Linked DNA regions of Drosophila melanogaster. The protein of the gene in region 3 purifies or fractionates together with the protein of the main gene of each other region. This does not show direct contact. Each region holds a gene or a part of one and is shown on either strand. Other genes may lie near its edges. The genes, in order: Whamy, Cyfip, WASp and Vrp1.

The links.
Region 1: the proteins of WASp (region 3) and Whamy purify together in Drosophila melanogaster (affinity purification with western blotting; one study listed by BioGRID). This does not show direct contact.
Region 2: the proteins of WASp (region 3) and Cyfip purify together in Drosophila melanogaster (affinity purification with western blotting, with the first as the bait; one study listed by BioGRID). This does not show direct contact.
Region 4: the proteins of WASp (region 3) and Vrp1 purify together in Drosophila melanogaster (affinity purification with western blotting; 4 studies listed by BioGRID, with this or other methods). This does not show direct contact.

Annotation. Positions count from the first base shown.
Region 1 is NT_033777.3:9,770,177-9,777,279, reverse strand, and holds Whamy (WHAMM and JMY related), read left to right. Parts: upstream 1-2,860; 5' UTR 2,861-2,960; exon of another isoform or gene 2,961-2,969; intron 2,970-3,301; 5' UTR 3,302-3,305; coding exon 3,306-4,079; intron 4,080-4,130; coding exon 4,131-5,084; intron 5,085-5,142; coding exon 5,143-5,307; 3' UTR 5,308-5,485; downstream 5,486-7,103. Other genes in the region: topi (matotopetli), read right to left, coding at 1-222, 275-534, 595-1,567, 1,627-1,996; CG9471 (uncharacterized protein), read left to right, coding at 5,912-5,984, 6,040-6,581.
Region 2 is NT_033777.3:15,329,331-15,338,865, reverse strand, and holds Cyfip (cytoplasmic FMR1 interacting protein), read right to left. Parts: upstream 5,601-9,535; 5' UTR 5,478-5,600; coding exon 5,271-5,477; intron 5,201-5,270; coding exon 3,369-5,200; intron 3,314-3,368; coding exon 3,021-3,313; intron 2,961-3,020; coding exon 2,848-2,960; intron 2,794-2,847; coding exon 2,594-2,793; intron 2,533-2,593; coding exon 1,997-2,532; intron 1,936-1,996; coding exon 1,841-1,935; intron 1,788-1,840; coding exon 1,401-1,787; intron 1,343-1,400; coding exon 1,130-1,342; 3' UTR 501-1,129; downstream 1-500. Other genes in the region: Nagk (N-acetylglucosamine kinase), read left to right, coding at 1-282; Fkbp39 (FK506-binding protein 39kD), read left to right, coding at 5,838-5,853, 6,038-6,250, 6,318-7,162; mRpL9 (mitochondrial ribosomal protein L9), read right to left, coding at 7,309-7,983, 8,041-8,112; ea (easter), read right to left, coding at 8,505-9,235, 9,300-9,535. UniProt on the Drosophila melanogaster protein: Plays a role in guidance and morphology of central and peripheral axons and in synaptic morphology. Also required for formation of cell membrane protrusions and for bristle development.
Region 3 is NT_033777.3:28,827,397-28,834,683, forward strand, and holds the start of WASp (WASp), read right to left. Parts: upstream 4,629-7,287; 5' UTR 4,422-4,628; intron 3,918-4,421; exon of another isoform or gene 3,823-3,917; intron 3,745-3,822; exon of another isoform or gene 3,598-3,744; intron 3,282-3,597; 5' UTR 3,223-3,281; coding exon 3,106-3,222; intron 1-3,105. Other genes in the region: Apc (APC-like), read right to left, coding at 5,839-7,287.
Region 4 is NT_033778.4:22,117,937-22,125,204, reverse strand, and holds the start of Vrp1 (verprolin 1), read left to right. Parts: upstream 1-2,642; 5' UTR 2,643-3,312; intron 3,313-7,268. Other genes in the region: GM130 (golgi matrix protein 130 kD), read left to right, coding at 1-445; mei-S332 (meiotic from via salaria 332), read right to left, coding at 941-1,669, 1,731-2,207.

The DNA.
Region 1 (7,103 bases), about 19 Mb from region 3:
GATAGAAACGTTTACCACACTCCTCGCACTCATAGCGCCGCTCGCCGCGATGGATCAGACGGTGCTGATAGAAGACGGATCCGGTGAGAAAGCGCTTTCCACACACCAGACAAAGATATGGACGCTCGCCCGTGTGGCACTTGCGAATGTGGTCGTTCAGATCTGGGCGAATGGTGAACTTCCGATCACAGTTTTCCTCCTGGCAAACGAAGGGCTTCACACCTAAAAAGGAACTATCATCATCTTATCCTCATATAGACACTGTATCACTTACCCTGGTGAAAGCGTAGATGCTGCCACAGATGGCTTGACTGGGTGTACGATTTGCCGCAGATATCGCAGAGATATTGACGTATTCGGCCGGCGCCCGTGTTGCGCGTTTCCTTTTCGCGCTTCTTTTTGTTGAGATGCTTCTCCTCGCTGTGCGCCAGAAAATCGTGGGCGAACTCAAAGTTGACGTCGCAAAAGTCACAGGGCAGCAGGAGCTTCTTGCCATTCTCGTTGAGGCGAGGAAAGTAGTGAAAGGAGGTACACCTAGTACAGAGAATAGAGAATCGAAGTAATCATACTTTCAATGGCTAACCAATAGCTTACCGATGCTCCTGGAGCAGGTCCGTGTTGGCAAACTTCAGCTCGCACACATTACACACAAAGTAGCGACTAAGCGTGACATTTAGGGACCTGATTGCTTCGCGCATGAAAATGCAGTCCGTCTGGAAGTGGATGCTGGCTTCCTTGGCCGTGTTCATCTGAATGTCGCAGGCGGTGCACTCAAAGCGCCGCTCCGCCACATGGGAAGCGGAATGGACAAGCAGCTCGGCTATGTCAGCGAAAATGTACTCGCAAAACTCGCACTGCAAAACACTTCCCAAGATCAGGCTGCTAAACATTTCCTTCTTCGGTGGGTTTGTGTTTTGATTGCTCGTTGCAAATGCGGGATCGTTGTCTATCAGCATCTCGCCATCCAGCAGCAGCTCATTGAAATCTGCTCTATTGGAGGGTACTTGGGTCATTGGACTTTGACGCATCGTTGAATGCTCCGAATCGTGAATAAGGCCGTGTCTAAAAGCCACCTGCGGATCATAGAAGATGCGGCCACACGAGTTGCACTTAACCACCACATGCAGTCCGGCAGCCGGAATCGTATGTGGTTGCTCGCTGGTTTGCGAAGGGATCAAGTCCAGGGCATGCTTCTCCATGTGGCGCACCAGCCCAGAGGCGTGGACAAATTTGCGGTCGCACATGGTGCACTCGTTGGGACCCTTGGCCGCGTTTTTGCGCGAGCTTTCGATGCCTGTGGCCAGATCGTACTTCATCTCATCTTTGATGTAACGGCGCAGACGCACTTGGTTCTCCCGAATTACCCGCTCGCTAGCCGGTTTGCTTAGCGGAGCCGGAGGAGCAGATACAGTAGGCACAAGATGTGGCTTCTCCTGCTGAGGCACCGCCACCTCGATCGGCTTCGCTTCACAGGAATGATTTTGAAAGGCCACGGCATCGAACTGGACCAAACATGTTGGACACTTTATACGGTTGACAGTGGACGCAGAGGAATTGGAACGAGATCCTAAATAATGTAGGCAATACTATAAAAACTTATCCATGCAAGTGAATCTATTCGTATACCATGAAAGACCGATTGCTCAGTGGTCATCTTGCTGCTGGTGACGCCGGCCAAAAAGTCGCGAATCTTCATTTGCTCCGCCTGGGGATCGAAGCCTTTCTTTCCGTCGGCCTCCTGCAGGATTTGCTTGAAAGCCGGATCCGCCAATGTTCGCTCCACTACAACATCCGTGGGCATTGGTAAGGCGCCCGCTGGCCCCACGGCGAAGAATCTGGACAGCTCCTCATGGCTGACAATCCGCTCTAAGCCGCCAGTACTCTCGTTGGTGGCCAGCACTGTGGCTCCGGGTTGCAGGTCGTCTGGCGTCAACTGCTGGTCCAACTCGACTTCGATCTCGGCCAGCGTATATTCACCCGAAACTTTGACTTTCATGGCGCTAGTCCGATCGCGTATCTTTCGCAGAAAATTGCTCTCTCTCAAAAGCGATTCAAAGTTTTTAAAACTCAATGGCAGTTGGCCGAATTCGAAAAAAGTTCAAATTTGTACAGTTTCTATCGCAGGAATAATTTGTTCGGAAATTTTAACGAAACGTTTGTACTGCTGATAAGTAGGGATATGAGATTTGCTTTCTCCGTCGCTGGAAAATTGGCTCAACTGACAGTTGGCTCCAAGGCATTGGACAACTCTAAAGGGTTTCTAACAAAGACGGCAATACTAAAATGTTTGCTAAAGTAAAACATCTGACAACTTACCGATATGTTTATAACTTAAATGACCTGAGAATCAACTGAATATTATAAATACGTATATCGTAAAATATATATGTATAATATAAATGTAGTCTTTAAATTGCTTTGAATTTTAATTTCTAATATCACATAAGATTTAAAGTACATCTCAATAATGAGAAACTCAAACCAATGGGTTCGTAGTTATACATTTTGAAACTGTGTTTTTAAGTCCCTGCATATGCATTCATCTTTAAAAATAAAATGATTTATAAAGCCGTTTCCGCTTCTACAACACATTAGTCATTAGCTAATTTTTAAATTTTGGACTTACCCAACATTTTGCAGACTTCTGACAGCCAAGGCGCATATCGTAGACCGCAAAGTGTAGTTAACGCCATTTGTTTATGTTTTCCTTTGGCTCAGGCTGTCAGAGTCGGAGTCGTCGTAGTTGGCCCAGGTGATTACTGGCCGCCAGTTATCTGCATTCAGCACTTCGGTTACAGATAAGACGCCTCGCGAAATGAGTAAACGCAGTGCCTAACATGGCACACCGACGTTGTTAATCAGTCCCACAAGGTTCTCCGTGCCATTCAAACACACCAGCCGACCCGAGCCGAGCTGATCCGGTTCAGCATTTGCAGAATCCCTGCAAACAGCGTTTCCAGGTGCGCACGGTAATTGATCCTTGCTCATCGCCGCTGCCTACTGTCGTTCTAGACCACCATCTCGTTTCAATGGGCTTTCGTAATAATTATTAGCCTGTTTAACTGGTGACTGGGACCGTCGATGAGTCACGTCCGTGAAGGCCCACCGCGATCCGAATCCGAAATTGATAAAACGCCAAGTTGCGCCAGCAGTTCTTATCTGCAAATTGGCTACTAGATAATGCCGCTGGGCCCAGTGGACGCACGGCGGCAACGGGGAGAGATCCAAGACAATGCCAATGGGCGGCACCTCCTTTGCAGCCGTAATAACGCAGCTACCAACTACGTATCCGTTTTTCCAGTTCGATGGAGGATTACACATACGCCTACATCTCCGAGCCCGTGGAGTTCCGCCAGCTGGAGGGCAATGCGATTGACTTCCGCAAGACATTCGATCTGCGAGGCCAGGGCACCGACGAAATGCTTCAGTTGTACCTGCGCAAGGCAAATTTGTCCGATGATCTTGAACGTCTGCCGGCTATTGTGCGGCGCGCCTATGTCTATGACATAATTAGAAGCAATAAGGAACCCGGTTACTGGGTGGTAATATCCTGCAGCATCTCATCTTGCCAGCTTCATCAGCCGAAAGTGTCCTTGATGTTGTCCACAGTTGTCCTGAACGCAGCCGTTTTCTTCTCCTTTCAGCCACCGTCTATGCAAGTGAGCAGCGACGTCTTTGCACATCCACCGCCAGCAGTTCGTCCACCGCCTCACTACGCCGACAACGTGAGCATCAACGCCAGTCTAGACGGCATGAAGAGCTCCTCCTCCTCGAACAGCCTGGACAGGTATCTGGGCGCTCCGCCCTCTGTGGCCTTGGCGGGTCCCAGCTTCGCCACCAGCGTCTTGGTCAGCAGCAAGGGCTCCAAGTACGAGATTAGCGGACCAGTCAACTTCCAGCACGTTTCCGGCGATGTGACGCGGGATCGCACGCGAAACGCCTTCGACCTGAATGCCGATCCCAACGACAAGGTGCTGAGGAAGTACATGATGGAGCGTGGCATTACGGAGGCGGACATTAGTGACATGCGGCGCCAAGAAGTGATCAAGAAGATCATTCACTCCAATTTTACTTGGATGGTAGGTCTTGAAATTAACTGGAAGCTGTTAATATAACATTTGCCTTTTAAGCCACCAAAAAGTGATCTTCAGGCGCAGCCAAAAGTTCAAGATCATGCCAGGCCGCTGCTCTATGCCACCATTTCCACTAATAACCAGATTACTCCTCCGCCGTCTCCACCGCCGCCTCCAATAGCCACTATTTCGAGGCCAACGGAGGCACCAAACTTCTCCAACTACGCCTCGCTTACTTCACGGTTTGTGGATATCTCCGATATGGACTTACCTGCTCCTACGCCGGCTGCACCAACTCCTTTTCAACCGGCAGAGGTCGGAAGTGTGATACCCGTCCAAGTGCAGCCTCAGCAGAGTGTGAAACCTAAGGTTCCTCCACCTCCATCGGCGGTAATGGCGAAGAACACACATGGATATCCAGCGGCCATTGACATTCGTCAAGTGAGGCCATCTGTGGCGCCAAAGGTAGCGAATGAGACGTACGCCACCATATCACCGCAACGGAAAGTGGGCTCAATGCGCGTTCCACCGCCGGCGCCTCCAAAGCCAACAATAGTGCCTCATACGAACTCGACGATTTCCAACGGATCACTGTATGCTGTGTCCCCGGTGCAGTACGCGCCTGTTGCCAAGCCGGCGCCACCAGCTGCTCCTGCCAAGCCGACTTCTAGATCTTCGGCTGTCTATATGACACCACTGTCAGCGCAGAAAACCCAGATTAGTAGTACTCCGGTGCCAGTTTCACCACCGCCGCCTACAGCGGCATCCGTTGGTGTTCCACCGCCGCCTCCAGCGCCACCAGCAGGTGTTCCACCAGCACCGCCACCAATGCCAGTTTTTGGCGCGGGAGGCGCTCCTCCTCCACCACCGCCTCCATCAAGTGGCATGGCCGGCGTTCCACCACCGCCTCCGATGCAGAAATCACAGCCCAAGGCTGTTTCAGCTGCCTCCACCGGCGGAGACCCGAGGGATGCGTTCTTGGAGAGCATTCGACAAGGCGTAAAGCTGAAGGTATTAAAAGTAGACACCCATTTAAATTGGAAATCTAATCCTTCTTCGATTCTTGCAGAAAGTGGATCAGAAGGCAGCCACCATAAGTGGCATTAAGCCGCGTCCAGAACGTAAGCCGGTGACCACCGACTTTCTAAGTGAACTGAAGCTGGGAATAACACTGAGACGGGTCAAGAATCCGGCGGATAATCCGTATTCCGAGGAATCGGAGTCGCAGGCGTAACGATTTGGCGGTTAAACTTTCAACTGCGCCGCATTTTACCACACTGAACCAAGTGGCAGGGCTGCCAGACTGAGAACAACCGCCTTAATTTTAATTTTCGCAAATGTATTTATAATTTTAATATTAATCACCATGACAAATGACCATTAGCGTTTGTAAATAAAATTGTTATCGCCAGATATGATATACCTTATCATTATGCCTGACAGTAATCTATATAAAAATTCATATTGTTTTGCCAGTACAGTGCTAACTAGAAGCAATGAACCAATAAACAAAATAAGATTATTTGCATAGAGACAAAAATAACACGATATTTTTAAAGCAATAATTCGTAGCTTAATAAAAATACAAATGAATGTTAAATATCTTGTTACCTTCTACAGAAGCTTCAGATCAGTGAGCGTTCACTATTTAGAAAGAGCACTGTACATTCATTGCTACGGGTGAGGTGAGAATGCGAGGCAATCGCGCTGGATTCACTTGTGAATTGGAAATTTGATAGATAAGTTGCGCCTGGAGCACAGGTGAGACTGCACTTTTGCAAACCAACAACTGGACTAAACGCATTTCAATCGACGGGAATTAAAGAATCATCCGAATTATGCAACGCATTGCTATTATTGGAGGAACCGGCATGACCGGCGAGTGTGCCGTGGATCACGCCCTGCAGAAGGGTAGGTGACACCTTAAGACCCGGAAACGCCAGTTAAACCGTATTCTTCCTTTCAGGTCTGTCGGTGAAATTGCTATACCGCAGCGAAAAGACAGTTCCAGAACGCTTCAAGTCCAAGGTTGAATTGGTCAAGGGAGACGTGACCAACTACGAGGATGTCCAGCGCGTTATCGAGGGCGTGGATGCGGTAGCCGTCATCCTGGGCACCCGCAACAAGCTGGAGGCTACCACGGAGCTATCCCGCGGCACCGAGAACCTCATCAAGGCCATGAAAGAGGCCAAACTGACCAAATTCTCTATTGTCATGTCCTCGTTTCTCCTGCGCCCGCTCAACGAAGTGCCCACTGTGTTCCACCGCCTAAACGAGGAGCACCAGCGCATGCTGGACCTGACCAAGGCCTGCGATCTAGACTGGATCGCCATTCTGCCGCCGCACATAGCCGATGAGCCGGCCACCGCCTATACCGTCTTGCACGACGAGGCCCCCGGTCGTCTGGTATCCAAATACGACTTGGGAAAGTTCATTATCGACAGCCTGGAGCAACCGGAGCACTACCGCAAGGTTTGCGGCATTGGCAAAAGCCCCAAAAGTGCCTAGAACTATCTATCACCCAATGGGATTGTGACCAATTGCAGCTGATCATTGAAGACGTACAAATTTAATTTGATATTCCTATTGTAGTCCTCTATAGTTCGCCAAATGTTTGCACACCCGCATCCGTATCTACGTACTGTGAGCGCACAATAAACTTTCCATTTTAGAAGATCCGAATTTAATAGCCATTACGTGCGGAATCGCATTGGCGCGACCAATCGGAATGTCGCCACATTAGCACCTGTCGCACCAAACGCCGGGCAGGTATTTAAAAAATGTGTAACCATAAGAGATCACCGTGCCCCCGGGCAAACCAACAGCGATCAACAGCTTCCGCTGTCGGAGAGGCGATCGTCACACCCAAGTCATAGTCCCATTCCCATTGAGAGAGCGATTTTTGGCAGCCGAGAGAGATCTCTGTGTGCCTTACATCACTGCGGGTTATTTCTGTAACAAAGCATTACGTTTGCTGGGCGGGCATTAACCAACCATTTGGGCACCGAGCCCCCGTCAAATTTGGCTGCG
Region 2 (9,535 bases), about 13 Mb from region 3:
CTGGTCAAGTCCGGGGACCTAAGCGTAGTGTGCGTAGGATCCGTGTGGTCCAGCTGGGATCTGCTGCAGGAGGCCTTCATCAGTGAACTCGCTAAGACAACCATCGACTTCGACCTCAAGCTGGTGCGCATCACCAAGAGCAGTGCCTACGGAGCCTGCTACCTGGGTGCGGATAGTGCGGACTTCGATCTTCCGAGAAACTATGCCGACAACGTCACAGTACTGTACACGTACACCGATCCTCGAAAGAAAGCCAAAGCCACCAACGGCTGTAACTGTTAGATAAATTGTGTTTGACAACCCATTCCGCAATACACTTCCCAATTGCCAAATTCGCAATCAATATTCCAGTTAGTGGTACGGATAGGTAGTATTATAGCTTATCAAAAAATAAATAATTTTATCCTTTGACGAAATCCGCTGGAAAGTAAAGAAGTTTCCCTTTCAATCTTGCATCAAACTCACCTACATATACTTTCTAAACTTTTTTTGTTGGGTTTGTTAGAAATACGTATGAAAATTTTATTCGATAATGTTCATTGTATTAATTGTATGTGTCTCAATTGTTGGCTGTCGTGGCTTCTTTTCATGTATGTGGGCATACATGTGCGGCATCTTCTTTGTAATACTTTGATTGTGTTTAAAGCCAATTTGTTTTTATTTTCGCAGTGCTGTCAATTCAATTCTTTGGCTAATTTGATTCTCGAATCGGGAAGCAGAACATAAATGTATCTGTTTGTAGCGAAGGAATACATAGGCCAAAAACATAATATCTTAGGGAGCTTAGAATAGAGTATTTGGGATAATGTACGAGTAGCTGAATCGAATGCCGTAGCAAGTGAATCAAAATTACATCTACATGTATATATATATAATTGCTTGGATAAAACATTTAACGTACTGTAAGATTGAATGCGACATACCAAAAGAGATTTTCAATAAAATCGAATTCAAATAGAACCAAGACCGCCACTTTGACTAAAAAAACTGTCAAAGTTTCGGCAGCATAGCCAAGAAAACTTGGCTTTTCGGCTTCTACGTCGCTGTTTTCCTGGGGACTAATTCATCTGCGATTAAGTGTAACCTATTTGTATGCGATTAGCTTAAATGCATCCCTTTCCGGGCGACTTCAATTGTTTATGCTCTGCCGCAGCTTCTGGGGATCCTGGTAGTGCGACGAGGACGATATGACCGAGGGATGCTGAGGCGGTGGAAAACACCGCACGTGCTCCACATTTGAGCCCTCGCCATCGCCGCCCTTTAGATACTTGTTGAGAATGGAGAAGATTTGTGAGTTTAATACTTGGAACCGACGAATCCGATCCACCATTCGCTTCAATTGCTGTTAAGGAATATTCAAATTGTACTTTGGGCACTTTGGTAGTTATGTTAGAACTTACAATGCCCTTTACGTCCTCATCCTTGCCATCGACGCGCTGTACCCGCAGAATGTGGTAGCAAAAGTCCAGAGCCTCGAAGCGACGCTGCTGTCCCAGCAGTACGATCATGACGCAGCCAGCCCAGTTCAGACCTTCGCCGAAGAGCTCCTCGATGGTGTACTCCGTTCCCCTGACTGGAATGCAATAAACGAACTGCAGAGCCGACCAAAGGCGATGGAACTCCGAGCACTCATCCACGTGGATAATCCCGTTGGCCGGTGGAGGACCACACCACACAGGGTCGTCCAAATAGCTCTTCACGCGGTTGAGAATAACTTCAAAAATGCTGAGGCCACAGCAAAGACGCTCACGAGTCAGCAAATCTCCCTCTCGTGCTATCATTGCTTGCTGTTGGTAAAGATTATTATTATAAAGTTAATCAATTAAGTTTGGGGGCTCACCTTTGCAGTGCCAATCTTTTCCACGTTTGAAACTATCTGCAGATTGGCAAACTGTGCTTCAAGACGCTTTTGCTTAGCCTCCGGTTTTTCATTCTCTGAAATGGGTAGAGATGTAAGTAAGAAAAACTACCCATGAAAGCATCCACTTGTACATACCTTTGCAAAAAGGTCTGGGAAAGATGTTCTGGAAGAGGGCGGCGTGCAGTAGATCGCACACCTCCTCCTGCGAGAGCGCCTGTTCGATCAGCAGGCAAAAGATAATGCTGTTGCCAAACTCCCGGAAAGACTGAAATAGCTCTGTCTTCGCGTCCGGATATTGCACGATGTCTGTAAGATGAGCCTGATAGTAGCTGAGCACTCCAGGCGAACCATATTCGCAACGGGGTAGTTTGCATGACTTGGGCATGGCAATCATCAGCGTCTTGGTGAACTGCAGCAGCGAGCCCTGGATCAGTGGCTTAACAATGTCCTTCAGTATAATGTCCATGACGACTGCTATGCCCTGATAGCCCAGCAGGCGGCACATGGCATGGAAATGCGGTGAACCTACAAAGCCAGTGTACTGGCCATACTGTGTGGAATAGGCAGCATTCAGCTGCTTGGAACCCCACAGATAGTAATGGGACATTTGTGGCGGCTTCTCACGCTGAATAGCCTGTGACGACGAAAGATTCACTTTGGTTCGAATGAAACTGCAAGAGATAATAGTAATAATAAGTATTTTAAACAATAGAAAATTGGCGGCACACCCACCGATTCGTGGCTGCATTATAGCAGTAATTGACCAGAAAGTCGTAGTTCAATTCCACAAAGACGTGCAGTGTTATTCTGCCGTAAGGCGCCAGTACATTGTGGTTAGCCTCCTTTACCATGCCGTCAAAGTTATCCAGGGCCAAGTACTTGCTTAGCAACTTGTGGCAAATTCGATTCGCCTCTAGCAGGCCTTCGAGTTCCTGAAATTAAGCGAATTAGAGACCGATTCTAGACATCTGTAGGATTCCACTTACCACAATGCCGGTTATATCGTTGCCCTCGAAACGACTGATGGCCAACTCAATGCTCTTGTGCATGTTGGCGTTTATGCGTTGTGTGATCAGTTTGTTCAAGTCAATAGAACGGCCTTAAACGAATGGAGAAACCATTAACCAAAAGATCATGATGCAATGGGTGTTTTGCTTACCCAAAAGTTGGACATGTCGTTGTTTTAACAAGGTCTCATAACGATTATTGCGGGGATACGACTGGAAGTTGAAACCGAGTACCTCGCACTCCAAACGGAATCGCTTGTCCAAGAAGATGCTGCCCGCCAATTGCTTGTAATGGGCAAAGATCTGCTCGCTCAGCTTGTAGACAAACTGATCGAAGCACAGATTGACTTCGGCCTCCACTTCGTCGTACAGGAACTGCTTTCGGAAGACAGTGAGTGCGTAGTACGCCGAGTCGTTGTACAAGTCCAGGGGATACAAGACAAATCTGTGTGAGGCACTTAGTTAGTTCAGATCATTTCACCTATTCGCCATTTACTTACTCCATCATTGAGGGCTCCTTCGTTTGCAGAATGTGATCGGTTAGGATCCAGGGCATGGACATTTCAATCGGAAACTGAATGCGCTTCTCCATGGTGATCAGATCCTTGCACTCCTCGTTGTGCTGATGCCGCACCAAGCACTTGTTAACCTTACGACCCATGGTCATCTCCAAGTAGAACTCGCGATACCACAGCTGCGAGAGATCGCAGCACTTCTGAAGCGTGTCGCTGAAGTTGAGCAAGTAGCTCCAGTAGAACGATGTCTTGTGGAACGTGTCGATCTGCAGCAAACAGTTTCCGTCGATGTCCTTGCGCAAAGTGCGCTTGCCGCCGCTTTTGTCGGCAATCAGAGACTCCAGCATGGTGCGCACCATGTATAGCTGAGTGGAGGAAGGTCCCACATTGAGGCGAGGCACCTGGATGCGGAAGCCGCCGTCGGGATCCTTCTTGCCCTTGGCCACTGGATCGTCGGTGGGCTCATAGCCCTTTTGCCAGTCCGCCGATGTCTCTCGCACCGACATGATGATGCTCCGGATAAGATCCTTCTTATTTTTTACGGCCTTTCGCAGCGGTTCACGAAGCGAAAGCTGCACGAAGTCCTGCAGCTCGGAATAGATGTTACGCCGGATAGCCTCGCACAATACGGTTTCAATGCGCGCCATTAGCACCTGCAGTCCCTTTATCATGGCGATGACCTCGATCAGCGCGAACTTCTCTTCCGAGGTGTAATTGTAGCGGGTGGCCCGCTCGTACTCCTCAGCCTCCACGGGGCACTCCTTGTTCTGGTGATGATCAGTCGGATGCAGGAGCTTCCAGGAGTACAACTCGGTGACCACACTGGTCCACTCGGACAGCAATTGAAGGCCGCGCAGAGCCAGGTCGGCCGTAATCCGGTTCTCGGCATCAGAGGGATTCTCCTTGACGGTGGTGGTCACCTCGTTTGTGTATCGCGCCAGCTCCGAAATGTACTTGACGTGATCCTCGCGTATCTGCGGCAAATGCACCATTAGATCCGCCTGTGGGCTGATGGCGTTTGAGCTGGACAGCGGCCACTTGCTGGAATCGAAGTGCTTGCTGCGCTTTATGTAGTTGAAGGGAGCAATCTGCATGTCGCCGAAGAGGGGCACCACTTCCAGGTTCTTAAAGATGCGATCGATGCGATCCAGCCGTATCTTCTTCTTTTGATCAAGTTTGTTGATATTGCACGCATCGCTGTCCATAAGGAACAGGCCAAAGCCCATAACTTTTACCAGCATGTGCTTCTCCTCAGGGGTCAAGTACATCTTTGTCTCGAACATATGCACGCAAATGTTGACCACATCTGAGAGCAGATCCTCGTAGCCCACGATCTTCTCCAGCGTGTCCTTGACCGTGTCGCGAATCTTGTTCTGCGTGGCCAGGAACATGGACAGATTCTGCGACTCCTGCAAGGTGTGCGAGTCCGACATCACTTTGAGGAACTGCGCAGCTCGCCTGTAGGTGGAGTAATCGTTCTTCACGCTGGACTTCATGTTCTTCAGCTCGTCCAGCACGGCAAACATGTTGATAAACTTGCCTAGCGTCAATAGGTACGCCTCGGACACGAAGTCCTTGCGCTTCTCGGCGTGGCACAAGCGCTTCACCTCGCCGGAGAAGGCCTCGATGGCCTTGCGTTGGAAGTACATGAAGTTGAGCAGCTTGTTCACCTCCGGGGCTAGCACCTCGACCGTCTTCTCGTAGATCTCCACGCGATTCGGCTGCTCATTGGACTTGGGCTGCGGAATGGCGCGCGAGCAGCAGCGCCAGGTGTAGAGCATTACTGCGTGTTTCTGCCCCTCGTCCAGGAGCACATTCTGCGGGCGGAGAGAAGGGGTTCAGAGCTGTGAGTAATGCTAATGCGATAAGCCGGATACGCTAACTCACCAAGTTGGCATGGGTGGTGGCCTCCTCGATGTACTTGGCGATACCCGTGACAAATCCATTGCGATCCTCGAAATTCGTATCGAAGTTTGCCTTGTAGATAATCGAGCAGGGCTGCGCCTCGATGCAGGGCTGCTCGTCCGGCAGGGATAGCTCGTCCAACACCTCCACGTTGGACAGCGCGTCGGCTAGCGTAATCTTCTCCGTCATGCTGGGCTGCTTATCATGCTCCAGCAGCGCGAAATGGTTAAATTCTAACAAGGCGGGGCCCCAATCCAATCGACACAAATTTTTTTCGCCACAAATACAACACGACTTTTACCATTCGCCTGGGTGCGTGGACACGTGGCCATAATTAGCACATTTTTGCTGGCGGTTGGCGTCTACGATGTGCTTATGCTTATATGGCTGCGCACCGCTAATTTCGATAAGAGAAAGATAATCGATAAATACGGCGCATTGGCGGCACATCACATCACTAGCGTCTGTGGTTCCGTTTCGTTTTAGCGAACTCAATTTCTCCTATTTTATATTGCATTTTCCGTTAAGAGTAGCCTACAATTCTGCAAGATGTCGATGTTTTGGGGTAAGTCGAACTGATCTCACTTGCCCCCTCCGGGCTGGTTGTGCCAACGAGCTCTTGGGTGCTCCGACCGCGCTTTTATTGCCACCACGTGCTTGCCGCTCGATTTACCGGCAGCGTGGAGCGGCGCCATTTGCACGCCGATGTAAAGTAAACCATGTTTTTGACCAACTGTGTCCTCTTCCAGGTTTGAACATGAAGCCTGAGCGCAAGTACTCGCAGACGATCATCAAGTCGTTCCACATCTCGGGCGTGGCACTCGACAAGGGCCAGGAGGCCAAGTTGTACCTCGCTGCCGAGAAGCAGGAGTACATCGTGGCCACCGTGACCAAGGCCATTCCACAGGTTGCGCTCGACCTGAACTTCAGCAAGGGCGATCGCATCATGTTCTACACCGCCGGTAAGACCTTTTATGTCCACTATGTTCGCATGTTTATCCGTTTCTGACGCTTTCGTTCGTTTCACAGGCGACGCCAGCGTTTCTCTGTTGGGCTACTTGCACGACATTGATTCCGAAGATGATGAGGATGACGATCAAATGACGATCGAGAATTTGCTGAACTCCAAGGCGATCAAGAATAGCAAAAAGTCTGAAGATGATGAGGATGAGAATGAGAGCGGCGAGGAGGACGAGGAGGATACTGATGACGATAGCCAGATAATCGAGGAATACGAGTCCTTCCTCGAAAATGGTGAGGAGGAAGATGACGACGATGTTGATGAGGATAACGAGGAGAGTGGCGAGGAGGATGAACAGGACAGCGACGACTCCGAAGCTGAAGAGGAACAGCCAAAGGCCAAGGTTGCCAAGCTCTCTCCTGGCGCTAGCGCCAAGAAATCTGGCAAGGAGCAGAACGGTGTGGCCAAGAAGGAGGAGGCCAAGCAGCAGCAAAAGAAGAAGGAGAAGCCAGAGGCCAAGAAGGAACAACCCAAGGCCAAGGAGCCAGCCAAGCAGCAACCAGCTTCTAAGGATCCACGTACTATCACCGGAGGCGTGAAGATTGTGGATCAGGTCGTCGGCAAAGGCGAAGAAGCCAAGCAGGGCAAACGCGTATCTGTTTACTACATCGGCCGCCTGCAGTCGAACAACAAGACCTTCGACAGCCTCCTGAAGGGAAAACCATTTAAGTTCGCCCTGGGCGGCGGAGAGGTCATCAAGGGCTGGGACGTGGGAGTCGCCGGCATGAAGGTGGGCGGCAAGCGAGTCATTACCTGCCCCCCGCACATGGCGTACGGCGCACGGGGAGCTCCACCGAAGATCGGACCGAACTCCACTCTCGTCTTCGAAGTGGAACTGAAAGCTGTGCATTAGTGCACTATATTAACATCATATAGACTTGTAATCCTAAGTAAGTATCCACGTCGTACAACTTGATAAAAATGTTAAATAAACTCTGTTTTCCGGCTGTTCATAAATCAACAGTTTTGTAACAATCGCATGTATTTGGTATGGGGTCTCTAAGGGGTTTTTTCGGGTGAACATACATCCAGCAGGGGCTCAGACTGGAGTTTCCAGTGCTCGAGTACGTAAGGCAGCCGTTCGCTGGGATCTGTGCTCCAGTGGTGCAGACGACACTTGAGTCGCGCCTGTTCCAGCTTGTTTATGGTCACAGTGCAGTAGAAGTCCTTGTTCTCCTTCTTCAGGTCGGGTCCCTCGATGCGCTCCTTGGGCAGGGTAATGCACTCCTCGCGACAATAGAACCCAGTCTTGCGCAGCGAGGCCTTGATGTGCCAGGGCTCGAGCACCCATGGCTCATCCTTGTTCATGACCACCGCCAGCACAATGGTCTCCAGCATGTTGACCGTGCGCTGGGCGTAGGGGGAGCTGTGTTTAACAGTCGATTTTTCAGCCTCTGTCTTGGCGTACTTGGCCACATTCTCCGGCGTATTGTACGCGGCCAAACCCGGCAGCAGGAGCTTATTGTAGACAAAGTGCGGCTTCATTGACACCACGTCGCCCTTGTCGCCAACGCCCTCGACGAAGGTCTTTAGCACCACCTCGATGTTGGGCCGCTTTTTGACCAGCGTGTCGTCCACGAGCTCGTAGATGAAGTTCTTGGCCCTCATCCGGCGGGGTTTCTCGTTGGTTTTGTGCAGCGGCGGGTCATATTTGCGCTTCAGGACGAACGTGGTCTGGAAGCAAATTGGTGGTGAATGGGGATCGCTTCCCTAATCCAGGAGAGCACTTACCCGCACTTGCTGCTGCAGGCTGGTGGCCGATTTAAGCAAATTTAACGGCGTTACGTAGATGTTCTTCAACATTTTTACCACCAATATGTCTGCGTTGCCAGACTACTCAGCCAGTTTGCAGTGTTGCCAGATATGATTATTTAATCTGCGTGAGTTCAGCAGTAAAATTTTCAGTGACTTTGAAAACGATTATGAATTTAGTTTTTTTATTGCAACTATTTCTTTACATTTTAATAAAGCAAAATAATTTGCCCAATTTACCTTTTAATTGATTAAAAAAAATGTACCTTTGAAAGTATTATGACTGTCAATTTTAATTTAATAGTTTCATTACAAAATAAAAGATTGACTATGCCAATATTTCGGCGAACGCGCCCATCGACATGCAGTATGCGTACACGCTGTGAAGCAGTTTTTAAACGGAAACCGTTAGTCGAATTTATTTACAATATGACATTTTACAATCAGGACTCAATAGTGTTTTGTATCCAATCAACGTACTTGCCCACCAGCGTGTAAACTCCTGGCCATCCGGCCAGACCGCACGGAGTCGGTCCAAATGACACGACGCCGGCCAGGAAGTAGTAGGTGTTCACCTTGTTGGTGTCCAAGCCGATGAGCGGTCCCCCGGAGTCACCGCGACAGGAGTCGACGCCTTCCTTGCCGCCGGCACACATCTGTGTGTCCTCGAGGAGAATGTCCTGGCTGCTGTAGACGTTCTGGCACTCATCCATCCGGAATCCCTCCACGGCTGCCTTCAGCTTGAGGTTGCTGGCCGACAGCTGCTCCGTTTTGCCCCAGCCGGCCACGTCCATGGTGATGCCGTCGAAGGTGGCCGACCGCAGATTGACGTCCAGAGGCAGGCAAATGGGTCGCACAAAGTCGGTGTACTCCACCTGCTGGGCCAGACGCAGCAGGGCTATGTCGTTGACCTGGTTCTTGGAGGCCGGTATATAGTCGGGATGGGGTATAGTACGCTCCACGGGCACGTCCAGATGCGGTGGCGCGCAGTCCTTCATGCCGCGCACATCTACTTCGCAATCGGGATTAGTGTTGGTGTCCCATTCGCCCAAACGAACACCGGACAACCGCCAGTCGGTGGGCAGTGCCTTTCCGTTGACACAATGCGAGGCTGTGATCACATATCTTGTGCTGATCAAGGATCCGCCGCAATGGTGACCCTTTTTGCCCTGGCCTGCATGTAGGAATTAACCAGTGGATAAGTGCGTTCAGACTTAAGACGATGCCCCTCTACTTACTTTTGGTGTATTCAATTAGAGCCATCCAGGGGAACTCGTCGATCTTGGTCTTCATTCCGCCATAGATGCGATTGGACAGGATGTTGCCGCATTGTCCTGGCAGCGGCAGAAGGCTGTTGCTGGTTACATTGGGCTTGGGCGGTGGCGTCGTCTCCGATGAGCTCTCCCTGTAGCGGTCCGGACAGCAGATGAGCACCTTGCCGTTCGTATAGCCGCACTGGCTGCGACTCAGGTAA
Region 3 (7,287 bases):
GCCATCAAGTCGAGTCGATGGCCCCCAGTGAGTGTTGACTCTTTTGAATACCGATTAGCCTGGCCAGCTCTTGCAGCAACTGCAACTGGTAGTTGAATGGGCAATCCAGCCGTTTGGCATGAGGAGCACGTATCCCCGGTTGATGGAGGGCCTAAGTCTAGTCCGTGGACATTAGTCTAGTGGAGAACTTTCCGTGGATCAGTGCATATTGCTGCAACAGTGCAACGGAGACCCATAATGTGCACAGGCAAAAATTAAGTATCATCCATTGATTTAAAATGAAATTGTGTTTCCCCTAAGATAGATGTATAGATAGTACCTACGTATAAATTCAAATTGTTCTCTGTGTCTTTTGTGTGACGGAGGACTTTGTTTATGACCCAGACAGGAAATGGTGGCGACACTCCAAGAAGTGCATCCTGCACTACCACTAAATTGCCGCAGCAGAATAGTTGCCAAAACCATTATGTGCAAGAAGCTCTGCCGCCAGAAAAGTCAAGGCAAGCGCTTATTTATTTATCGGAAACTTTGTGCAAGGACACACCAGCCTCTTTTAGGCTCGACAAAAGTGAGTGTGTGAGTTGGTGGCCCTAACATTTGGCTTTCGCCTGAGGCCACAGAATGACCCTCAACCCGAATCGTTGCTAATTGATTCAACTTGCCGCCCCTGGGCGATGATCCAAAATGTTACGTGCTGGCAATTGAAACACTGCAGCCGAACAGCAATCCAGCATTATCAATTAATGGACACATTAGAGATGGATGGATGTGGATGGATGGTTGGTTAGTGGATATGGGCAATGGCCATGCAGAAGCATTTGCAGCTGACCTTTGGCTCAAATAAAAGAGAAAGAGGCATTGACGAGCCACTGGATTTTATGTAGCTTCGGATGTGGAAGATGCTTTCCAGCCCACACAACACAGCGCAACACAGCACAGCACACAGCTTGTATCTCTGGCAAAGTGCGAAATTGTGAACACATTTGAATTTTTATTGATGCTTAGCTCTGGCTTTTTTTACTCGCGCCAACTGTGAGCGGACATAAGTAGCATTGTAAAAATGATGTCTTGCCTTCTACGTACAAGCTGGTGTTTCTTTTGAAAAGCATTAAAATCGATGGAAAACAAGCGACAGCAAAAAGTGGTCATTGCCACCGAGCGTGTGGCTCGATGGAGCGGGGAATGGGTGCGGTCCTAGCGGTACAAGTCAACCCAAATGGGCCAAGCGGTAAAATGCTCATACGCCCTGTGGCCAACATATTATGTCAGATTATAAATAAACATTTATACGGATATCTATAGATACCACTTTAATCGCAATGTATTTAGAGAATGTCATTGCTATTTAAAGATGCGTAAAAATACTAGAAATGAGTCAGCTACTTCCTTTGTTTATTAAAATTCTTTCGAAAGTAATCAAAGCTAGCTAATTATTCAGAGAGCAAAATCTGGGGCTCAAAGTGTACACTATCCAAACATAAACATCAATTAGAAAGTTTGGCCTGTGCAGAAAAATGCGTTAAATAAGTGTATACAAATAAATGCGAGCAAGAGTTGCGACAAGCGACAAGCGACTGCCAAACCACAATAACAACATCGGGTTTGCTAAGCTGCAGCTTTGTGTGTTATCACACGATATCGCACAAAGACGGGCAGCATTCGATACGGTGAAAACAAGATATGGTTTGGTGATTGATTGAATATTTTCCACCAGGTAATCTCTTTCTTTATCTCAGAGAGCAGAGCAGGGCAAACGAAAGATGTGGGATTAATGACATAATTTACAAATCCCCGAACGTTTTCATTGACTTGCCCAATACCCGTAGCTTCAGTGAATCAAAAGCAGAGACTAAAAATATGAGAAATGGATTGGTAGTGCCTTTCTGAGTGTCTTCAAAAGGGGCCAACTGCCTTAACCAGCCCACTGGTTGCATTACTTTGGCAGAGTTCAAATGCATTTGGAAATGTTTTGTCAATGGAAAGTTGCGAATTAGCAAAGCGTGAATTGCGAATCGAAATTAGCGATTTTCCCATGTTGTGCACACCATAATTATCCGCACAACGGCCGCCGTTAAATGACCACATTCCAAGTTTCCACTCCAATTTCAGGGCATTCTTATCGCACTTGGCATTGGCCGGTGATTCGCATTGGGCGGGCGGATTGATAAGATAAGGTTCGTCTGTATTTCGCCTCAAATACTATATGTACCCCCACTCTTATCACGACCCAATGGGCCAAACTAATGGTTTCTCTTTCGTTTCGCACCACAATCGGCTTTGGCACCCCAATACTACGAAGGAATAGAGTTGGAAATAAAAAACTAATCAAGAAGTGCAAACAACTGCGCTTGTGGCCTATCAATGCCGGCTCAAGCCGTTTGCTGATAGAGGCTCTAAGAAATGCTAGGTAAATATTAGTAATGTTAACAAAGTCTAACAAATTGCTCTAGTAACACTGGCCAGCACATTCGGACTCTGATCTGAATGAATATTATTTATTCCTTATATACTCCTAATTTCTTAATGAGCATTTAATACGAGAATAGTGCCCAATAAGTTGTAACCTACATATGTATGTATGGGCACCATAAAACATCTGTGTAACAATGATTCATCTTGTTTTTTTTTTGTATAGTACAGAGAACATTAATCTAAATGGTTATCTGCACTGACTCAAGTAGACTTTCCAGCAAAAGAGTATGTCTTTCAATCAAAACCAAAGCTAATAATGTGTACGATACTCCCATGCAAGTTTTATAGCTGACCAACTAACTATAGTGCATAGAACTCTAATTTTGTTCACAGTTTAGCTTCCGGTGCCATCTTTAAATGGGCAAAGAAACCATTCAACTATGTTGGGCAGTGTGCAAGTGAAATTTGGTAAATATGACAGGCAGCTGCCCGTAGACCGTAGAATGATATTATGATATAGGGTTACTGTGCTTCGAGTGAAATTCGCACACGATGGGCGACACTTGAGCCGCAGGAAGTGCTTCATCAAGCCGTGGGATTTGCTCGGCGAAGGCGGAGGAACACAAACCATGTCATTGCTTAATTATTAATCACCCGATTGGGGGCATTATGCATCATCAGTACTCGACTCACCTGGCACTTCTTGCCCAGCAGCTTGAAGACGGCCTCATTCTCCTCCTGGGTGAGCAGCGTACTGGCGGCATTGACCTTCGCCCGTGGACCGTCCTGCGACCTCATTCCGCTGCTCATCTGGCCGGTTTCGTTGGATCTGGGTCTGGTGCTGGATATGGGGATCTGGGCTGGTTTCCCTGCACAATACGGACACAATACGCATTTTATTGTGTGGCGAAAACAATACGCAAATGAACAAAAGCTAAATGTATTAATTTAATATCACAAAACGCTGGGGACCCCGAAAAAGTAAAAAGTTCATAACAATAAAGGCACACGGAGTAACAGTTGAACTTCGATAGAGTGAACAAAAGTTTGGGATCGTAGGGTTGACGATACAATATGAAAAGTTTGAGCTCCCATAAATATACTAAAGAGTTCAGAAACTGTATAATATTTAACGTTTAAATGAATTATTGCAGTCAACGCCTTCGAATATAAAAAGATAACTACACTTGGATAGGCTGCCTATTTTTTTGTACAGTGTACAGCTTGTAAAAACTCCGATCTACAGAGAGTTTGAGCAACGGAGTCCGAAGTGTGTTGCGAATAACCCGATTTGGGATCGAAGAATTATGGTTTTGGGACTGCTGAATCGATTGACAGTATTGTCTTTACGGTTTTGAATGGTTTTCAGCCCGAATTACGGCCAAGAGCGCGAGCGAGAGAGACCGAGACCTGCGCTGGCTATGACGATGTAGCTGGTTATGGTGTCGGCGGGGCTGCGAGCGGATCGCCTGGTCTGAGTCACGGTGCCCGAGAGTCGGAAATCAGAAGCAGAAACAGAAACAGTCAGCCAGCAAGCCAGCCAGCTGCGTTTGAATGTGGGCAAAAGCCAGGCCAGTGGCAAACTCTTCGAAAAGAGCCCTTATCTTTGGCGAAAAGCACTGATTAGGTGTGCGCATGTATCTATGTGTGATACATGCACAGTGGTCTGGGTTACTCAACATTCGGCACTCGCCACAAGCCACCAGCCAATCCACCCCACTGTGCGCCACTCCGTAGCTCCAAGATTTGTGACAACACCTGTCCGTCGTCGCGCCAGGTGGGGTGAAAATGCAAATGTAAATAGACAGACGCTGCTGCGGATTGGGAGTAAGTTCATGGGTTGGGTTGGTTCGGCTTGGATGGGATGGGATGATGTGCTGCCCTACTCAAGGTCTCGAATTTCCCTTGTGAGCTGCTCTGCTGGGGGGGTCGCCCATTGATTTTTTGCGTTTATTTTCGTGCACTGCTCTTCACTCTTTCGTTTTTTTCCCACACACAACACAACACACCACAAAATCTGTGTAGTCTCTGGCCTTGCGGATTCCGGGACTCTTATCGGGAGGCTCTACTGTGCGCGCGTCCGCGTCATCGAGTGCATGGCGTTGAAAACGAGTGTTCCTCGGTTGATTATTCGTCTGTTCCCGGACGCAATGCTAGTTTGTTTATTCATTTATTTTTTTTCACTCCAATTCAATTGCTGCCAGTGTGACCGACCGAAAAAGGCGATAGGCTAAAAATACTATCCTTTCGATAATTTCCTAAAATATGCATCAAGCTCTGCCAAGGCCCTGTGCAGACCATGCTCGAGACTTTTCAATTTTGCCCATCACTAGTTCCGCTTAAAAGTTTATCAAAAAGTTTCAGGCAATTCCGTTAAGAAATCGCGAGTGGAGAGCTGTGGGAATAGTATATTTTTTCATTTATGTTATCTTTTCCGTTAAATTTGATTTTGTTTACCACGCCCGTAAATTCGAATAAATATTTGTTCATCTGGCTTTCAAAATATGTTTTATTTTGATATAAATTATAATCGAGTAAATTCACATTGGTTTAATTTTTTGCTGACAAAAAGCATATTTCGATTTATTCATATTGAAAATGGTTAATCGCATTGAATCGGTAAAAACTAAGTCGCAAATGATGAGCTTAATGCATAAGCTGTTTCCTAAAACAGTTACCCTTAACTTGCTAAATTATATAAAAGAATACTTAAAAAGCAGTGACTAAAAAATGTGAATTTCTTCTCTCTTCAGATATTTGGTGTTTGCATAAGGAAGCCAGGGGCATATTTTAAACTTAGAGTATATTCTCAATAAAGATGTGCAACTATATGATTGTAATTGATTTCAGTAGCTCACCAGTTGGAGGACAGCTCATCTAACTAAGTGTTAAAAAAGTTAAATCAGAACAGACATTCGACTTGGTAAACCTTTCCTAGTTAATGCGACAATCGAATATATAGCATTTATATATATGCCAGTATACATTTTGTATATATTGGGTAGTTGTACACATGTTGAAAGGCCTGATTTTGTGTATATATATGCAATACATTTGGCTACACACGATCGGGAGCATCGGGAGCTTCCTTCTCTGACTGTGATTTGGATAAGTTGAAGTTACTAGGAGTTTGCGCTAACTCTATGCTAAACTGGTTGCTTACAAAGTTTTAGGGTCTACGTATAATGTATAAAGTAAAAGGAGAGTAAAATATGGATTACATAGCGTATGTATATTAACTCCTATCCTAAAAACTCTTTGATTTTGACTCTGACTCTAGCTCGGCTTGTGGATGTGGACCTGTGCGTGTTCGGTTCCTAAAAAATGCTTGACAAATACAGTCCTGTTCCTCTTACAATCTCCACTTCCGTTTTCGCTTTAACTTGGCTAATTTGTGATCCATACTATCCTGAACAAATTAACCCTCTATTTCCGCGCGCCCACCACTGGCAGCTTGGACTTGACTCCTCCAGCGGTGCTGGGGGTATTGTCAAACGTGGAGCTGCGCAGGAGCGTCGGCTTGGTTCCATTTGCGTTGAGCATGTTGGAAGATTTGGTTTTCTGCGTCCTCAGGTTGGATGACGATTGCTTGGTTTTGGCCTCGTCCACTCTCTTCCAGATGTTGGCGATACGACTTTGCGCATGGTTGATCTTGGCCGCAGCTGCTGCGGCTGCACTGCTTCCATTTAGGTTGGAGTTGCTGCGGGATGGTGGAGTAGTGGACGACACGCGGCCGGAGACCACACGTGAGGCAGCGTGAGATTTGCCCGCAGCTAGTCGCAGACTGGTGTTTGCCCTTTGAGGCGTCATTCGGCGGGCCGGCGCCAAGGGAATCCTCTTGGGAGAGCCCGCTTTCGATGGTGACCCACCGCTGGCCGTGCCTTTCTTTGTGGGTAACTTCGAGGCGCGGTGAGTGGGACTGGTTTGAGCCGGTTTTGTCTCCACCACGGGCACTTGAACATTGGAGTTAGTGGGCTCGTCCTTGACAAAGGTTCCCTGGCGTTCCAAGCGTGCGGGTGCCGGCTCAGGCGGCGGCGTCGGCTTCTTTTTCGCTGGTAACCTAACTCCTGAACCGCCGGGCACCAGACTTCGTTTGGCAATTGTTGGAGATAGGGTTTTCTTCTTGGACGGGGCGGCATTGTTGCTATTCCGTTGACTTTGCATGCTGTAGGGTGAGACATAGGCTGGTTTCTTGCGACCTCGCACCAGTTTTACGGCCGTGGCGGGCTCCAAGGTTGTGGGCTTAACGACTGATGTTCTAAGGTCCACAATTGACGGAGGAGGAGGCAGCTGATCCGGTTCCTGACCATCGCACGACTCCGTCTCAGAGTTCTGATCGCACTCCGGGGATTCCCCTGCGTCTTCTGGATGATCAGTACTCTCGCAAGTCTCCTGACTGTGTCCAATGTTAATGTCCGTGATGAAAGTGAACTGTTGCATCATTGCTCGAATTGAGGAGAGCTGTTCGCTTGGGCAATCATCGGGTTGGGGTTGTATCAAAGCCAGGGGACATTCAATCAGTTGGGTCTTGTACCGCTCCGCACTGCCCCTTCTCCTTCCATTGGCGCGTGGCGATGGCGTGGCCACAGGAACGGCAGCTTCCACAATTTCTATCTGCAAAGTTTCATTGGCCTCTGGTGCTTCCATCTCGCAGCTGGTGGCTATGGTGTAGGTCTTGAAGCGATCCTTTGTGAGACGTCGCTTGTCTTTCGGTGTGAGGGAACGACGATTGGGTGATGGAGTAGATCCGTGCTTGGGTGTGGACTCGGCCGAGCTGTAGTCATTCATTGTGGCATCCTCATCCTCGTCGAAACAACTTTGGAGCACGGTCATCGTCTGATCATCGCAAGCAGCCGTCTCATAGTTGGACACGGA
Region 4 (7,268 bases), on a different chromosome or scaffold from region 3:
GATCAGCCAGGTCGCCGACTTGACGGAGGAGAAGCACAGCCTGGAGCATCTGGTGCTCCAGCTGCAGAGCGAAACCGAAACGATTGGCGAGTACATTGCCCTCTATCAAACGCAGAGGCGCATGCTAAAGCAGCGTGAGTACGAGAAGGCCGCCCAAATGCGTCTCTTGCAAGCGGAGCGAGAGCAGCTGCGCGAGAAGATTGAGGCACTAAACAAGCTGGTGGTCAGTTTGGGCGTGGAGCTACCCGCAGATGCCGCCCAGGCAAAGCAACCAGAAGCGGCCGCAGGTAGCGAACACACTCCTGGCGAAGGTGAAAACTCGCAACAGATCATCAACAAGATACAGGACATTATCAGCGAGATCAAGGAGAACACGGAGCAGCCAAGCCACAACCATGCAGGAGACCATCTCAACTGTTGTATGGGCAAGTTCGAGGTAGTCTAAAAGAAGTGCAATTATCGCCTACCTACGTATAATCATTACCCTTTTGCTACTGTATTTAATTGTAATTGTAATTGTACTTTGTTCTTCAGAGTCTTTTGTAAATGTTTCCAACAACTTTGTGCGAATAAACGTAGTTTGCATCTAAGAGGAATCTATAAAATGAGTTCCCCTAAAAGCGTATTAACAAATAATTAATTGAAACGTTGTTTTATTCACAAATGAACATGTAAAAATTAGACGTACTTTTAAATTCCTATTGGCATCTTTGGGTGATGATGATGATGGAGTGTCTTCCTTCCGATAGCGCTGGATGAACTGAATATGCCCTCTATTGCAGGCAAAAAGTAATCCGATGTCAGCTTTTAGTCTATAAATTAAACTTATCAGGGCCTGACGATTTAAAAATATTATTCATATTAAAAATGGTAAAAAGTGGTATTGAAAACCAATGAAATTACAGAAACAACATTAAAGCCTATTAAAAAATTCGTCTATCTACTTTTTGGCCTTGGCCTTGCCTTTCGAGCCATTGCGCAACTTGTTCTTCAGACTTGGCTCCACCAAACTGGTGGGCCTGCAGCTTCTACTCGGCCTTGCGCTGTTGTTGCAGAAAGAACTAGACATATCCGTATTTTCTGATTTCTTATTAGCCGCAGTTCGGCTTCTAGTTCTTATAGATGGCATTTCCTCGACGAGAAAGGATTTCGGAGTGCTGGTGCTTCCGGCCATTTTGCCTATCCCATTGAACAGGCTTCTTCGCGGCGTTAATCCGTTGACATCAGGAAATATTCCAGACGATTGACTAGGCCTGGTGACTGCCAGTCGTGGGCACTGTATGCTTGGCTCCTGTGGAGAATCTTCCACAGCTACGGAAATAGCCAACCATGATCCCTTCCCAGTCTCTTTTCCCCGACTGAGGGACACTGCTACAGGGATATTGGTGTCCACTTCCCGCAGAGCCCGTCCACTGGGCGTGACGGTGACTTGGGCGTTTGGCGGACTACTTTCAAACGTTGTGTCGCAATAGATGGCCTCGCATGATGATGACGAGTCTGTGGACTCCCCTTCACTGCCATTTTCCTCTATAATGCTAAACAGACGATTGTTCTCTTCATTTTGCTCAGTCTGTGTCTCCTCCACGGGGCTTACTGCTTCGTCGAAATCATCGTCCGAGTCGTCCTCATCAAACACTAATTCCGCTGGTCTTCGTGGCGGTGGTGTAGGCTGTACTCAAGCCGATAATGAATCGTTAAGAAAAGCATAATCAAATTTAAGTATAAGTTACCTTGTTGGCTCTTCTATCCTCTGGTATCCTAGTGGTCACCACCTCGGACTGCACTTCTGCGCTGGAGCGGCGACTAGTGGACGATACAGTACTGGTCACTGAGGAAGATCTTCTTGGCGAGATTGGTCTGGTGGTGCGGGCCAACGCACACGTCCGTCGCATGTCCTTGCAGATTTCCCTGGAGCTGCGACGCGGGCCGCTTGGTCTGTTTATCTGAGCTGCGGGAGCGGGCTCCTGACGCACTGCCAGGGAATCGGAGTCCACGTTCAGGCTCAGCATCAGGCTGCGTACGATACTGATGTTCTCCATGCGCTGGCGATGGTTTTGCAGGACGTGCTCCTCCCGAATGTCCATGATCTCTCGCTCCAAAGATATCACCCGCTTCCTGTACTCGCCGATCTCCAAGCGCTGCTTCTGCACTTGGTCCATTAGCTCCGCATTCAGCAGCTTGTACTGCTGCTCCACTTTGGATCCCATTTGCTTCTTCTGATCTACTTATTCCATACACAAAATCCAGACAGACGACGCCAATAGCTTGTTTTGAATTTTGAAATAGAGTGACCGTTGTTGTGCTATTGGAATATACCCCAGCTTAAGGAAAACTTTTTGAAAGTATGGCAACGCCGACCATGCTCTTAATTAAAATGAAATTCTTTAATTTTGGGCCATATATATAAGAAACAATACAATCCGATGTGAATATATTTTATTTTAATAATTATAAATTTGTTTGTCTCATTTGCACGACAAGAATTAGGAACCGTTGAGTTGGTGCGAATTTGATCGTACATGCGTTACCAAGGGTAATTTTCCATTTAAATTCTACACGTATGCCAAAATGCTAAAATTTCGCTTAGTGGAAGCTGTGTATATTGCGGGACACCGATTTCGATAGGCACAAACCATCGAGAGACATCGATACGTCTATGTTTCTCTTACACCTCTAAGCTGCACAATAAATTTATTGTTTTCTCGACCGATTGCGAAGAAAATCTGGATATCCGTGGTAGATAAACAATGCTGCAGCGCTAGAACCCGGAAATCGAAGTGAATACGCGTTTCGGGAGGTTGTAGATACACCTTGCAGAACGCGAAAATCGCACTGAATCAGAAGTCAGCCCACCTGGCAGTGTGTGCGTGCGTGTACGTGAGTGAGAGTGTGCTGTCGCAGTGTGCGTGTGTTTGTGTAAAAATGAAAATCAGTCGGATTTGTATCGTCGTTGTACGTCTTTTAGGCATTTAGCCAGGCTTTTACACATTTCTACAATTCTTACCAACAGTGGGAGGGACTTTCCCCCCGCACTCACAGGACACGATACACATCACATGCAACACCTGTGCACTCGAAAAACGATAGACGGATCTAGCGCGCGGATTAACTTAACTTAGGAACACGGATACGGATTATACACCATAGTTTCGGAAAAATACATTAGGGAACCGCTTGCTATGCTGTTTCATCTCCGCCAGAGAATCACGACAATCACCTGCTGAAACACCGAAGACAGCCAGCAGCCCAGAGAACCGAGAATTTCATTCACAGAAGCTACGACCGCAGTCGAAAACCGAAACCCGCTTCAAGGTGAGTCTGTTTGTAAATCCAACTCGTTTGGCTTTGTACCCATTTAGTCGATTGAGTGCATCACTCAGCACTCAGAATCCGAAGTGGTACGGACTTATCGAGCGACCTTATCAATTCTATTTCGCACGGTGCCCAGAAATTTGGTAATTTATGGCAAGTTCAGGAACCTCTTCGGTACCAGTTCCATGTAGGCAATTATCTTATCGCGCCCTCCGACAATTTCGCCACGATATTTGCGACTAATGGTTGTGTGTATGTAAAATTGCATTTTCCAAGATATGGGGCTATATCTTATAGCCTCGAGGTACACAATAAACAAACACATACCAGCGTTAGTAGGCAGCTGTATTTAGACTTTTTATAATATTTATTCATATGTCCATATTCCAGATTAATCACCATTATTTGCATATATTCTAAGTATAGCCGACAGTCCATGTCTTGCCCGATTTGATTTAATATTTGAGCTTGCATGAAATTTATTTTTTCCTGTGTCGGAGAACACGAAAAGCCTTTTCCACCGTCTAACCGGCTAAAAGGGGTGCAATAAACTCGGGTCGCTTTGATTTTCTCCTGTTCCGTCAGCGAATGCACTTTGTTTTGGTTTGTTGTCGCTTTGTCTTAATCACATTAAGCAAAACGCCCGGGCACGCGACGCATGACGACACCAAGTGTTGCAACACCAGCGAAGACCCATGGAGCATGTGGCCACCCATGCCACCCCATAACTGACCTACAAAGAGTGCATTGCTCGACGGCCGACGAAAACTAAATTCGCTGACTAGGGGTTGATTCATTCGCTTGGCTCCCTTCAGCGATGTGAGTGCGAATTGTGGCGGTTGAACTTCGATGGTATGACATAATCTGGGCTCTTACTATAGCCATTTGAAGAGGCATACAATCGCAATCTTTACATTAGATTTATTACTTGTAGAGTTAGTCACAAGTTTTAGCTTAAGCGTGCAACTTCTGGTGTCGTGGTACCGGTGTCCGGGTTCCAGTTGTCCAGCACTCCCATTAGCTGAGCAACGAATATCTGATAGTCGAGGAACGTCTTGTTTATATTCTCATTTCTAAAATGCTTTACTACTCTGCGATGGTGGAAAACAGATATCAAAACATTGAAATACAAGACTATAGAAGTTGTTATAAGTAATTTCTTTTCTCTGTACCGAAAATAACCCTCGTGGCCAATTTAGTGCGCTCTTTAAACCATCCACAAGTGTGAATGGGCTTCGAGCTCCTTTCCGTAATGCTATGCATGGCACAAAGGGTCGTCCCAGTCGCCGGGTTCAATGTCATTGGCGTGGCGTAGGCCATGGCAGCGGTGGGCACATGGCACCGACCCATCCCAACGTCCCATTCCATGGCATCCCGTCCAGGAGTCTGCCTGCTGCCGGTCTATTGTCGAGGCTGTTGTGCATGCCCCACTGCAAGTACACACAGAAATATCGAGTGCTGCTGCAGTGACACACGCAAAGACTGGTGATTGAAGGGAGGGTGGAGGTGAAGGTGTGTGGGGCACGGGGTGTGGATATGGGGTTTTATGGCCACGGGGAGTGGGCACTTGTCGGCCTTGTGTGCGGCCATTTGTCAGTCGAATTGGCTGTCGTGCATTTTTCGAGCACTGCATCACACGAGGTCTGATTGGCACGTAGTAGAGAGAGAGAGTCGGTCGTTTCTGTCAGCCTTTATGACGCTGAATTATGCTGCACTTCCTTGTGCAACCTGGAACTGAATCATAAAACTACAGTGAGCTCTCCAGCACACCGATTTCTGACTACAGTTTCGAGCCCCATGCCGAGGGCTTTCGCTTCCTCGGTGCCCCGGTGACTCATAGTTTGTGTTTGACTTGTGTTCACATCACATTTGCAGTTGCACTGCGAACACTCCTCTCTCTCAATGTGCTTTAAGCATGAAAGTAATTTTTTTGAAAGTGATTCAATGTTCAAAGAGGAAGACCAACTTCCCATTTCGAATCTTATCCGACTAAAAAATGAATTGGCACATGAGGATGTTTAGCTGAGTATTTATTTCTTAGGCACTTAGAATGACCGGGTTGTTGTTTCTAAGAGCTGTTAGTGGCTCTTTTTTTCCATGTGTAGTGTATGCAAACTAGCGAACCCAACACCGTTGTTGTCATTGAGTTCATCGTTGTCTCGTCTCGACTCTCATGATGTGTTTACATTAGTTATTTAAGCATTGTGCGACGGTGCTGAAAACCGCATTTTAATAGACCCGCCGGCAACAACGGGCTTAGCAACTGAAACAGCCACATCAAGTGCAACAATGCAATATTTATCTGTAAGCAAATATGGGCCTTACATCACACACGCGCAGCAAGCGCTGATGAGGTAGCCGATGTGGCAAAGGCAGAAGCTTCAATTACAAAATGCAAAATGCAAATGCAAAATGATGCATGGTGAAACGCTTAGATCAGAAGTAACACGAAACGCAGTGTTTAGGCTCATAAAAGGCCATTCAATGCGGTGTATTCACTCATATGTGGGATATATACTCGCAAATGAATCAATACAAGGTTTTTAAGGAAGGTTGGGAGTAACCTTTGGGAATAACAATAAAGATGTCAAGCTATTATAGTTTTTGAAAATCATCTTATTTTGTATCTAGCGTTTAATATGACTAATATTACAATAAACCAGTTCTGGCGCTATTGCTGATCAGAGAGGTTGAGGCTCAACGGCTTATGAGTCATTTGAGCGATCTGAGATCTGTCAAGAATAAATTGGAAATGTGTTTTTGATAGAGAAATTCGGAATTTGCATACTAAATTGTATTTATTAGATATCTGACCTTTTCCGCAGTAATGTTTTCGGCATAACAAACTCTGCCACTGGAGCGAAGGCACTTTGTGTATCTCTGAATTATCTGAATTTGATTCACCTCAAAACATTCGCCACAAAACGTTTTTACGTCAGCGGGCCTCTAGTATAAACGGTCATTCACAAAAAAAAAAAAACTTATAAACAAAATCGAGTTGGATGAGCTATAAAAACATTGGCATAAGAAATGCTTTCGGAGCGTGTTGTCTTTTGCATTTGTTGCTCCGACTAATTTGCACTGCGGTCACATATTATTATCGTACCGCGTGGCTTTTGGAATTTCAATGATTTGATGAGCAGCTTCCCCTGCCTCGAAAATCATGAAAAGGCACAGCTGGCACGACTTGCAATTGAAATGTAAATGTTAATTGTTAGTCCAACGGTTTTGGTTTTGTGTAATTGGAACTTGGCCACAGCTAAACGACAAAAATGAATTAAAGAAATTGAAAGCGAAAGTCTGGGCACTTGTGAGGCAAATTAAATTGCAAGACTGAGTGCATCATGTAAACCGGTTTGTGCTTAAGAATCAAATACAGAACTGAAATGAGTCACAGTCACTATACAATTTGCAATTAGACAAACTAATTAACTGGCACACTAGAAGTCATTTGAAGTTAGAAACCACCATTCAAAATCTCTTTTTAGAACAGCCTTTGCCAAAACCAGTCTCAAAACCTGAAACGCAATGAAACACTTGTGCAAATTGCCAAGTAAACAAAGCGATGAGCCAAACGAAAGGAAAGCGAGACAAAGAAAACCTACGTTAAATGAAGAAAAACCTCAGCAAAATTACCATCATTAGGAGAACTGGGCGCTTACTAAACCAAACTGTCCCGCCAGAAATCCAAACTGGGGGACACTTTGCGGCCTGTCTTATAAGACTTGCGCAATCTCGTGCGGTTACCGGGTGTTGGTTGGCGTATCGGGTATTGTCTCACGAAGCGTTTCCAATGGGCGTGCTGAACATTTAACACCCAATATTTGACTTACATTATGGCCGGCGGTGGAAATGAATTTGGACAGTTGGGCGATTTGTTTGCGGCGTGGATGGAATGGGAGTTAAAATGGTGGAAATGGGCAGGAGGTTTGATTTCCGCGCTTTGATTCAATTTG